3 linked regions of the Arabidopsis thaliana genome follow. The protein of the gene in region 2 purifies or fractionates together with the protein of the main gene of each other region. This does not show direct contact. Each region holds a gene or a part of one and is shown on either strand. Other genes may lie near its edges.

Region 1 (3,753 bases), on a different chromosome or scaffold from region 2:
TCTCGATCCCATTACATGTGATGTGGGCTCTACCTACGGTTCCACCAACCTCATATTCTAATCTAATATTTTTCTCATATGCTAATTTTAAATACTAAACGAATCTTAACGGCTGATATATTCGTATATGAATTCATCTACACAACATTTATGTTAATGATATATCTCTAGTCTAGACATTATTTGTCTACAAACGTTTTGTATTGACTTGGCCATCTCATTCCAACAAGATACAACTCATCACTCCAAACATTCAACTTCCATATAAACCATTCCCTTCCGATCTCACTTTCCAAATCACTCTTCACACTTTAACTAAGCAAACCAATAATGGCTACCACTCGTCTAACTCTAGCTCCTCTCCTCCTCATCGCAGCCGTACTACTCGCAACCAAGGCAACGGCTCAGCCGGCAGCCCCCGCTCCAGAGCCTGCTGGTCCCATCAACCTCACTGCGATCCTCGAAAAAGGTGGTCAATTCACTACTTTCATCCATCTTCTAAACATCACTCAAGTCGGTAGTCAAGTGAACATTCAAGTCAATAGTTCATCCGAAGGTATGACGGTGTTCGCACCAACAGACAATGCTTTTCAAAACCTTAAACCCGGAACCCTAAACCAGTTAAGCCCTGACGATCAAGTTAAACTCATTCTCTACCACGTTAGCCCCAAATATTACAGTATGGATGATCTCCTCTCCGTGAGTAACCCGGTTAGGACTCAAGCTTCTGGCCGAGACAACGGTGTTTACGGGCTTAACTTCACCGGCCAAACAAACCAAATCAATGTCTCTACTGGTTATGTGGAGACACGTATTAGCAATTCGTTGAGGCAACAACGTCCTCTCGCAGTTTATGTTGTCGACATGGTTTTGTTGCCCGGTGAGATGTTCGGAGAGCACAAGCTTTCGCCGATTGCTCCTGCCCCTAAATCTAAATCCGGTGGGGTTACCGATGACTCCGGCTCCACTAAGAAGGCAGCGTCACCGTCGGATAAGTCAGGCTCCGGTGAGAAGAAAGTCGGACTAGGGTTTGGTCTTGGACTTATTGTCTTATGTTTGAAATTTCTCTTTTGAAAATTTAATAGCAAAGATTTGTTTTGCTTTCTATTGATTTTATCCTGCGATGTGAGGTATAAATATGAAATTTGTTGATTAAGTTCCGTGAAATAAAATGTGAGATTTTTAATAACATACGTCGTCTATAGTTGTCAATTGTGCCTGTCGAAGTGGATAACTCTTTTCTTGGCGAACCCAAAACAACAAATTTGTGATGTGAACAAAATATTTTGTTAACTTAATTACTAAAGTACGTATACAATTGATGAGATGCTTATTTGTTTTCTGTTTTAATTGCAAGTTCCATTCACGACATTTTAACTCTAGCTACGTGAAAAATGGATCGAAGGATCGGTAGCCGATCCGAAAAACTAGCCATCACATGCGATTACTAGACATAGATTAGTAGTATTATTTAATTCTGACCAGCAGTATAGATAGTATTCATAATAATAAAGTGTTCAGATAATCGTTTTACTGTAACACGCTTTAAAATAAACATGATAATAACTACCCAGTTGCCATTAAATTATAATTCATCGTCCTTAGCCCATGTGATAATGGGCTTAGTGAAACATATTTTAAAATAATGGGCCTGAGCAATGTCTTTAAAATTTGTCAAACACTTGAGGACGGAAAACAAAAACATAACTAAATGCCTAAAATGGGCCTCTCGAAAAAGATAATGTGTTTAATGAACCATATTTGAAAGTAATGGGCCTAAGCAAATAGGCACGAACATACTAGAAGGTAGTTTGCCAATGCATATCTGACCGATTTCTCATTTCTAAAACCCTAAGCTTCGCCGGCAGCTCCGATCGTGATCTTTCATAAATCCTACCATCGCCGTCGATTAAGAGCTGAGCTCAGGTTTATCTATCTGCTTTTTCCTCCCAGTTTTCACTGTGTTTCGTTGTATGCTCTGTTTGGTTGTCGATAGTCACACAGTGCCTGATCGTCGGTCAATTTGCTAATCCTTGTGTGATTTAGAGTTGGAATGATCATTTGGTGAAATCTCGTGGATCTTTTCTTGTTGAAAGCTTGTTGACTTGCTCGTCATATATATTCGACGATCTATGGGTACTGTATCTAGTTGATAATGTTCAAAGGCTTGATCGATTTTAGCCTTGGGATCTGCTACCGATGCTTTCAATTTCTGACGCTTTTCTATGCGATCTTTTCGAATTCGTTTTTCTCTCCAGTTTTTGCCATGTCAATTGATTCTCTTAGTAACACTACTTCTTTGTTTGCTCTCTTGGATTTTTTGTTTCTTCTGAAATGGAGGCTTGTGCATTGATTGTTCTATGTGTGTGATTTCTTATGCGGTGTTAAGTCCTTTGGATCTTCGTATAATGATGTTTTTAATCTGCTGACAAACGAATTTATCCCTGCGGCGTTTTAGTTTGCTACATATAAAGTTCTTAGCTGTGAACTGTTTCTCCTGGGTATCTCATTGCGGTTTGAATTCTGTTTTGCTATCAGGAAATGAGTTTCAACAAAGTTCCCAACATTCCTGGAGCTCCTGCTCTCTCTGCCCTTCTTAAGGTCAGCGTTATTGGTGGGCTCGGTGTCTATGCCCTTACTAATAGTCTCTACAATGTCGATGGAGGACACCGTGCTGTCATGTTCAACCGATTAACTGGTATCAAGGAAAAGGTTTGTATTTCTCAAACTAACAAGATGTACTTTTATATCTGAGGCTTTGAATTCTAAGAAAGCGTTACTTTTACTTGGATTTGTGTTTTCAGGTGTACCCAGAAGGCACACATTTTATGGTGCCATGGTTTGAAAGGCCAATCATCTATGACGTTCGTGCACGACCTTACCTTGTAGAGAGCACCACTGGTAGTCATGATCTTCAGATGGTGCGTTTTGGTTTCTTCTTCTTTTGGCTTCTTTTCTGTGTGTGTTTGTACAATATTTAGCCCAGGGATTTAATTTTAAATGATGTTACTGAATGTGGTGCTATATAGATCATACTAGATATTCCTTCTTTTGACGTTATGTTAAGACCCTTCAATGCAGCATTAAGAGCATGTTTTAGAAAATTTTGGGTGTGGTTTGAGGTTATGGAGCTGTAGATTAAATATCACTTACTCTTTTAGGATATTACACGATCAATGTTGATCCTTATATGAACTGTGTGAGTGTATGGATAAGTGGAAAAACAAGAGACAAGTTACACTTGCTTTCAGTAGACTTAGGTAGAGCAAGAAAGAACTTAGTCTCCATTTTCTTTCTTAAAGGAGTTGCTGTGTTTCTGATATTTTTCTTGGGTGTTGCACAGGTGAAAATTGGATTAAGGGTTCTCACACGTCCCATGGGTGACCGTTTGCCTCAGATTTACCGAACCCTTGGCGAGAACTACAGCGAAAGGGTTCTTCCTTCCATCATCCATGAAACCCTAAAAGCAGTGGTAGCTCAGTACAATGCAAGCCAGCTCATTACCCAGAGAGAAGTACGTATCTCAACATTCTTTTTCTACAACTTTTCTGCTCTTTTGTTTCTAATGGTGGACTCTGTTTACTCTCTCCTCTAGGCTGTGAGCAGAGAGATACGCAAGATTCTGACAGAGCGGGCTTCTAACTTTGACATTGCTCTTGATGATGTCTCCATCACGACTCTGACATTCGGCAAAGAGTTCACCGCAGCTATCGAGGCAAAACAAGTTGCTGCTCAGGAAGCTGAACGGGCTAA
Region 2 (3,753 bases):
AAAAGGCTAAACGCCATTTATTTGCAATTTTCAAATCCACGTTTCACGAGAATGCAGGTTTTTACACACTTATCATGGAAATTGCAAGTTATTTTTCGATTACAACTTCCAAGCAATAGCAAATGTTGCAACTGTGAGAATCTGAAATGCACACATTTTAGAAAATTTAAACAGGATTATCATTTTCCTACATTATTCTTAGCTTGGTAAGATGCAATCAGTAGAACCAAACTCTTAAAGAACAAAAGTTTATGAAAAGAAGAACAACACTCGAGTCATTTACAATCTGAAGATGGTACTTGTGCAGAAGTGAAACAAGCAGATCCTTTTTAGTGGAAACATGTCTGGTCACCAATAGAGAGTGCTAACAAGTAATATCTTCAAAGTGGCCACACACGATAACAACCATAAAGTTAAATTTACTTTACATCCCCTCAGTTTCTCCTTTTCTTCTTCTTCTCTTCTTTATCTGCTGAGTTCTTCAACTGCATAACAAAAGAGTCCGTCAATGACGGTTTACTAACAAATAAAGTGTACCATTTTCTTATACCAGCGACAAATGAACTTACCATTATGATGAGAATCCGAACAAACACAGCTACAAAGTCAGTGAAAAGGGTCAACGAATGTTTTACATAGTCCATGTCACCGAGGTGTGCCTTTTCTATAATCTCTTGTGTGTCCACCACCATGTATCCCACAAAGATCAAAAGTCCAAAGTACAACTGCAACCAGAGACGTATTCATAACAATGGTGAGATGTCTGAGAAAGTAAGACAAAGAACAGATCATTCTAAAACAGAGGCATTCGGTTTACCTCAAACTTAAAGATAGATGCAGAGCCACCAAAGATTGAAGAGGCAAACTGGAGCCACATTAGCATAGACAAGCCAGATGAAAGCAGTCCTCCAAGGTAGAGATACTCCCTGCGTCTTGCTAACATTGCTGCTGCTGAGAAACAGACAAACGCTATCGCAGTTCCAACAAATGCAGTGATAAGGATGCTGGAGAACCAAAAGAAAGATATAAAGGTCAGCTCCTAGAATAGTCTAACAGAAAATTAACATTGAACAACAAGAATCAAATTGCATAACCATAACACACCTTGGGTCAACATCAATTGCCACTTTGATCAAGGGGCCAACAGAAGCACCTTCAAGAACAGCAGACACAAACAGAAGAGAAAGCCTTTTTTGCTGCATCAAAACAAACAACAATGTCAGGAAAACGAAACTTTAGTACAATAAGAAAGCAGCCAATTCACTATTGGGTTGGGTAAATCGAGCCCACGTACGTGTTCATAAGGAGGACATGAAAGGAGCCAAATCATAGTTCCAATACATCCAATCGTTGTAAGAATACCGCCGATATTCCAGAGCACATGGAGGTAAGCTCCAAAGGCAGACGCCACAAGAGCACAACATAAGGTCAAATAAACCTACAAAGATTCCACCACAAATAATAAGAACCAATGAGCATTTGTAACATGAGTGAGTATACAAATCACATTCCCTTCTGCAAATGGAACATGACAAATGAACAAGAGGATCTTAACAATAATAAGCAGAGTAAAGTATAACGAAAGATCTCCACAGAATCATAATCAAGTAAGTATCAACAAACTAAATCATGGAAAGACCCAATTAGAAACCCTAGATAAAGTACGATCGCAACGATTCGTTCAACGGAAACCAAATCATAGAAATTAGATGAAATATAGAAACATAGAGCGATCAATAGCACGAAAACGAAACGAATCTCAATCTATCGACTCTAATCTAGACATCGCGGTTTGGTGTGTGATATGAATAGACATCGGCGGCGAAGAAACTTACCCGTTTAAGATGATTCTGAACGGCTGGAGAAATCTGACGGAAGTTTTTAAGAGAATCATAGCTCCAGCTTCTGCTACCAGGTTGAGAATCGAAGAAGGAAGAGAACGCATCCATTGTTTCGTTTTTTTTGCTTGACTTTGAGAATCGATTAATGAAAATATTAGTTAGAAAATAAAGACTTTCGTTATTTATAATGGGCCTTATGATTGGGGACTAAATTGACAATAATACCCTTACTGCTTATGTGTAGTTATTACGCATTCGCTACACGTGTAGGGGCATTAAACACGGAGAAGGGTAGTTCTGGAAACTTCTTGAACGTTGAGATCGTCGTCGTCGTAATGAGTTGAAACTTTGCCGCGAAGCAAATGAAATATCTAAATCGTCATCTAACCAATAAGAATCATCCACGTGGATTTTTCACTTAGTTTACATATTATTGTTTAAGCTTAGGAATAAATTTGTTTTAGTTTTGTGATAAAGTATTTTGGATAACAGTATTTATTAATTTACAAAGACTTTTCTATAATCTTTCTCTATTATTTTCAGTTGCATCAAAAGTTTAACAAACTAATAAAGAAAAGACCAAGGACATTTTCATATCGTCTAGTCAATTCGTAAATCATGGGTCGAGAGTATGGTTAAATGTCAGGTTTTGAATTCTAGTTCTATATGGGCTGATCGCAAAGCCCATTAACAGTCTCGTTTATCTTTCTATTTTTGCTTACAGAAAACATCACGTAGTTTCTTCCTTAAACTGAATTAAAAAAGGAAAACGACATACAATCCAAGTTTCTAACGATAACAACATCTCTTTCACTTCCTTCATAGCTCATTTCAAACCACACATTCAAACTAACTCTGCAAAAAAAAAAAAAACTCAGAGCAGAGGAGATCGAGAGAGACAAAGAGAGAGAGAGAGAGAGAGAGAGATCTTAACAAAAAAATGTCTATATCCATGGCGTTATTCTCTCCGCCGATCTCTTCCTCACTTCAGAACCCTAATCTCATCCCCAAGATCTCAACCTCTCTTCTCTCCACCAAGCGTTTCTCTCTAATCTCCGTCCCTAGAGCTTCCTCCGACAATGGTACGACTTCCCCCGTCGTGGAGATTCCGAAGCCTGCTTCTGTGGCTGTAGAGGAAGTTCCAGTTAAATCTCCAGCCGAAAGCTCCTCCGCTTCTGAAAACGGCGCCGTTGGAGGTGAAGCGACTGATTCGAGTACTGAGACGGTAATCAAATATCAGAATGCGAAGTGGGTTAATGGAACTTGGGATCTGAAACAGTTCGAGAAAGATGGCAAAACTGATTGGGATTCTGTTATCGTTTCTGGTTAGATCCTTTTAAAACTTCAGTTCAGTACAGATTCTTTGAATACTTGATATATGTCTATGCTTTGTTATTAGGAAGATTCTGCTTTGGTTTCTTATAGTGGTGTGTAAGAAGAGGAGTGTTTGTTGTGTAAATGTGTTGATTATGTATTTTTATAGAGGCAAAGAGGAGAAAATGGCTTGAAGATAACCCGGAAACAACGAGTAACGACGAGCTTGTTGTCTTCGATACTTCGATTATTCCATGGTGGGCATGGATGAAGAGATACCATCTACCTGAAGCTGAACTTCTCAATGGTGATTTTCAAAACACTTATGATCTAACACTTAGATATAGTACACTTAACATTTTGTGCATCTAAGTTGTTGTCTTGGTGGTGTAGGTCGTGCTGCGATGATAGGGTTCTTCATGGCTTACTTTGTTGATAGTCTTACCGGAGTAGGACTTGTTGATCAAATGGGAAATTTCTTCTGCAAAACACTCTTGTTTGTGGCTGTAGCTGGAGTTCTCTTCATCCGTAAGAATGAAGATTTAGACAAACTTAAGGATCTGTTCGATGAGACTACGTTATATGACAAACAATGGCA
Region 3 (3,753 bases), on a different chromosome or scaffold from region 2:
ACTTATTTTAGAACTTCAGTTATGTAGAGGTACTACAGCTATATTTTTGACATGGAAGGGAAGAAAGAGAACATATAGAGGCTCTAATTAAACAAAATCGGAAAGTCCCATTCCTGCTTTATGCTTAAAAGTCTTGTTTTATTGATCAAACAACATATACAATCTGATCTTTACGCATAGAGGAACTTTGTTTTAGTGGTATTCAAAAGATCCTAAAGAATACTAGAATTGATAAAAATTTGTGGTTTAAGAACTCAGATACACAAACTTGATTATTTTACCAGAGATTTGGACTCAATAGGTCTACAAAAATAGCTAGTGAACTAAGGAAACATAGAAGCCAAGAGGTCCCTAGATGAAGTCTAATGACTACGATTCTCTCTAGACTAGCTACCTCAGCTTTCAAACTATGATGATCCTTGGAGAATCGTGGTCTTTGTAGCTTTAGGACTCTTGCCATTGCACTCTACTGGACCGGGTAACAAGATGCAGAAAATGATATGGAGAGCTTGAAGAAAATACCCAGAAACTATGCATTTGAATGAAGAAGCACAAGCAGATGCAGGACATCCTTTCCTACATAACATTCTGCTGAACTTCCAACACAAAGCTCACAGAGGACAAACCTCAACTCCCATATTGATTAAACAGTTGTAATCTTGGTGCAGAACTGTAGATTCCAAGATAGTCTGCAGTTCTTATCTAGGAATATGGTTTTGGTAAGGATAAAAAGTTATACCAAGTTTGAGCTGATCATGACCCAGTGGCCTTCCTAAAGGTTAGAATATATGAAGAGACAAATCCTAAATGTATGAGTGTACAGTGTTCATACACATAATACTGAAAAATGAAGATTTGAAAGAAGTATGCAAACAGGCAAACACGATCAAGGAAAGAGATACAAAAGAGGTTTAACAAGATTCCATTTACATCCTAGACAACTTCACCTCTCAGAAGGCCGATATGAAACAATATAAAGTAGAAAAAGATTAAACTTTCAAGCTTCAACTAATATTCTATCATATAGTAGCAACTGCCAGTGACCATTTTATTTCAAGTAGATCACAAAAATAAAGACAAATGTCTCAAAGTTATATCCATTGATCGAAATCCAATCAACACAACTAATAAAACAAGAGAAAACCAATGACGCAAAGACAAATTCCTCTAACCTTAACAAGATCATCTCAACTTCTCTTTACCAGAGCTCTTCCTAGCCGCAGCATTCATAATCCTCTCCAAATACCCTTCAATAGGTGGAGTAAGCGTAGCCGTACCTCGACTCACCGGAAACGGAGTCAAATCACGCACTAAAGCCGCCTTCTTCAAATTCTCCGGCAATGCCTCAACCGCAGCGTTCCTCATCTTCATCAAACTAATCTCCGCTACACGTCTCGCTCTATGCTCTCTCATAAGCACTCTACTATACTCTTTCGCAAGTCTAATCCCATCCTCCACTGTAACCTTATACTTTGGTAACTCATCTTCCGTAAAAATCCCTAACGAAATGTAATCCAATCCTGGAGTCCCAATCCTCATCGGCGCAGTAGTAACTCCCATCGTAAAGGATCCACCTTTCTTCTGAAAATCAATCTCTTTTTGCCTCGCTTTACTGATTAGCCCTAGCTTCTCTCGTCTCGCTTCTCGCTCTCTTTCCTTAGGTCTCAGGTAACGAACAGGACAAGGAGCGTTTATGCATTGATCTGAGATTCTTCCTTTTCCCTTATCCACCTCATCACCACCTCTGCCACCGCCGTTTCCACCGCCTTTTTTGATTGTGAGTTTGTTGCGTTTCAATGATTGGCCTGTCTTCAGCTTCGATTTTCCTTTGGGGGTTCCACTAGCGTAACATTTCTGGAGAAGATTGTAACTCACTGAGTCAATTATAGGTTTTGGTCTCGCGAATCTGATCATTTTCAGATTCTGATTTCCTCAGAGCTCTCTCTGTTTGAAATGAAAATGGTGATTGAAGTTGATCTGCAAGGTTTAGGGTTTCAAGGTACGCCGTCGTTTCATGAAGTGTAATTTAAGTTCAAATCGAGGGTAAATCGGTAATATCAGGTAGTGTCATCAAACTCACACTCATTTTTTAGCCTTCTCTCTGGTTCGTCGTCTGGTTCAAAAGCTATAGATCGATCCTAGGCTTACCTCAAACCTCAGTCTCCGTTGACTACTGAGACTCGTCGACCTCTGATCCGCTTCTTCGACTATACGGATCTACTTCCGATCTGTAAGAAGCTTAAATCTTCGGTTGATTTTGGAATCCATCCGTCGTAGATGTGTAATTGTATTGATTTGGATGAGTTTATCTGTTTTTTTGAGTTTTCTTATGCAGTGATGATGGCCGGAGGTAACGTACGGTTTCTGGTTTTGATACTCGCCGTAGCAATTTGCGGTGCTGCTTCTGTTTTCCAGCCGATCTCAGACTCTCACCGATCTGCGGCTCTGGATGTCTTCGTACCAGTCGATGGATCATACAAAAGGTTGGTTTCTCTATCTTAAGTCGGCATTGCTTTGATGTAGGGGTTTTAACCACATTTCACCGATTACATATTGGTTGCTCGTTAATGTTCATGAATGGTTTTTGTACGGACTAATCTGATTTTTATTACTATCAGCTTGGAGGAGGCATATGAAGCATTAAAGACTTTGGAGATTCTTGGAATTGATAAAAAGTCTGATCTTAGCTCAAAGACTTGTGAGAATGTGGTTAAAGTTCTTCAGTCGTCTTCTTCTACTCTTAAGGATGCATTTTATGCGTTAAACGTTAATGGGATTCTAAAATGTAAAATTGGTGAAGCTGGTCCTAAGGTAAACAATTGTCTCCTCTCAGTATCATAATTTTAACTATTAAGCGGCTAAAATAACCTTATCTTTTCCTCTTTTGAAGGACATTGTTTCTCAACTTCAAGCTGGTGTTAAAGATGCGAAGCTATTGCTTGATTTCTATTATTCTGTCAGAGGCTTGGTGCTGGCTAAGGTAAATACGAGTTAAAACTTTTGGTGGACATCTTGAGTGAGATTGACTACACCCTTTTTCCATAGAGTATTTCTAGGAGAGTTTTCTTAGTTTTTCGTGCATTATGTTGAAGTATGAAAATGTTTTGGCAGAAGGTACCTGTGATCGTGATTATTTTATTTTATTCAACTCCATAGCTTTGGCTTCCTGACTTTTCTTTTTCCTGGCTTCAAGTTTGACCTCACTGTTCCATGAATGCAGGAGCAATTTCCTGGAACTCATATAAGTCTTGGAGATGCCGAAGCCATTTTCCGTTCCATCAAGGTTTGAACTTGTTTAGCTGACCTTCAATTTTGTTGTTGTTGAACTATCAGATGTGACATTCATACACTGTCTTTTTGGACTATCAATTATAGACTCTGGTAGAAGTATATATATATTTTCGATATGTTACCAAAACTCAGTTACTATATTAATACTACTTAGATTGTTTTCCGGGTATTATTTGGCTGATATAGTGCATTTGTATCAGTCTCTTAGCCAGAGTGATGGAAGATGGCGCTACAGCTCCAACAATCCCGAATCAAGCACTTTTGCTGCTGGTTAGTAGTACATATTGGATTAACCCTTACCTAACGTTAATGATGAGCCTTTTAGATTATGTATCCCTTCCTTTCTTGCTTCAGCTTGTTCACTTCTTTTGCTCTTTGTTATTTCACTCATTCTTCTCAACATGCGATTTTTTTTCTCAGGCTTAGCCTATGAAACGCTTGCTGGAGTGATTTCATTAGCAC

The links.
Region 1: the proteins of BI1 (region 2) and PHB2 purify together in Arabidopsis thaliana (affinity purification with western blotting, with the first as the bait; one study listed by BioGRID). This does not show direct contact.
Region 3: the proteins of BI1 (region 2) and HAP6 purify together in Arabidopsis thaliana (affinity purification with western blotting, with the first as the bait; one study listed by BioGRID). This does not show direct contact.

Annotation. Positions count from the first base shown.
Region 1 is NC_003070.9:979,946-983,698, reverse strand, and holds the start of PHB2 (prohibitin 2), read left to right. Parts: upstream 1-1,696; 5' UTR 1,697-1,926; exon of another isoform or gene 1,927-2,136; intron 2,137-2,538; 5' UTR 2,539-2,541; coding exon 2,542-2,712; exon of another isoform or gene 2,713-2,804; coding exon 2,805-2,921; intron 2,922-3,343; coding exon 3,344-3,514; intron 3,515-3,595; coding exon 3,596-3,753. Other genes in the region: FLA9 (FASCICLIN-like arabinoogalactan 9), read left to right, coding at 331-1,074. UniProt on the Arabidopsis thaliana protein: Prohibitin probably acts as a holdase/unfoldase for the stabilization of newly synthesized mitochondrial proteins.
Region 2 is NC_003076.8:19,134,267-19,138,019, reverse strand, and holds the start of BI1 (BAX inhibitor 1), read right to left. Parts: upstream 2,069-3,753; 5' UTR 1,950-2,068; coding exon 1,836-1,949; intron 1,439-1,835; coding exon 1,295-1,438; intron 1,197-1,294; coding exon 1,105-1,196; intron 1,005-1,104; coding exon 818-1,004; intron 726-817; coding exon 570-725; intron 486-569; coding exon 435-485; 3' UTR 1-434. Other genes in the region: LIL3:2 (Chlorophyll A-B binding family protein), read left to right, coding at 2,782-3,166, 3,325-3,462, 3,549-3,753. UniProt on the Arabidopsis thaliana protein: Suppressor of apoptosis. Modulator of endoplasmic reticulum stress-mediated programmed cell death. Involved in methyl jasmonate-induced leaf senescence through regulating cytoplasmic calcium level.
Region 3 is NC_003075.7:11,276,309-11,280,061, forward strand, and holds the start of HAP6 (ribophorin II (RPN2) family protein), read left to right. Parts: upstream 1-2,120; 5' UTR 2,121-2,230; intron 2,231-2,322; exon of another isoform or gene 2,323-2,335; 5' UTR 2,336-2,337; coding exon 2,338-2,483; intron 2,484-2,618; coding exon 2,619-2,811; intron 2,812-2,890; coding exon 2,891-2,980; intron 2,981-3,220; coding exon 3,221-3,283; intron 3,284-3,491; coding exon 3,492-3,561; intron 3,562-3,711; coding exon 3,712-3,753. Other genes in the region: AT4G21140 (copper ion-binding protein), read right to left, coding at 1,183-1,914.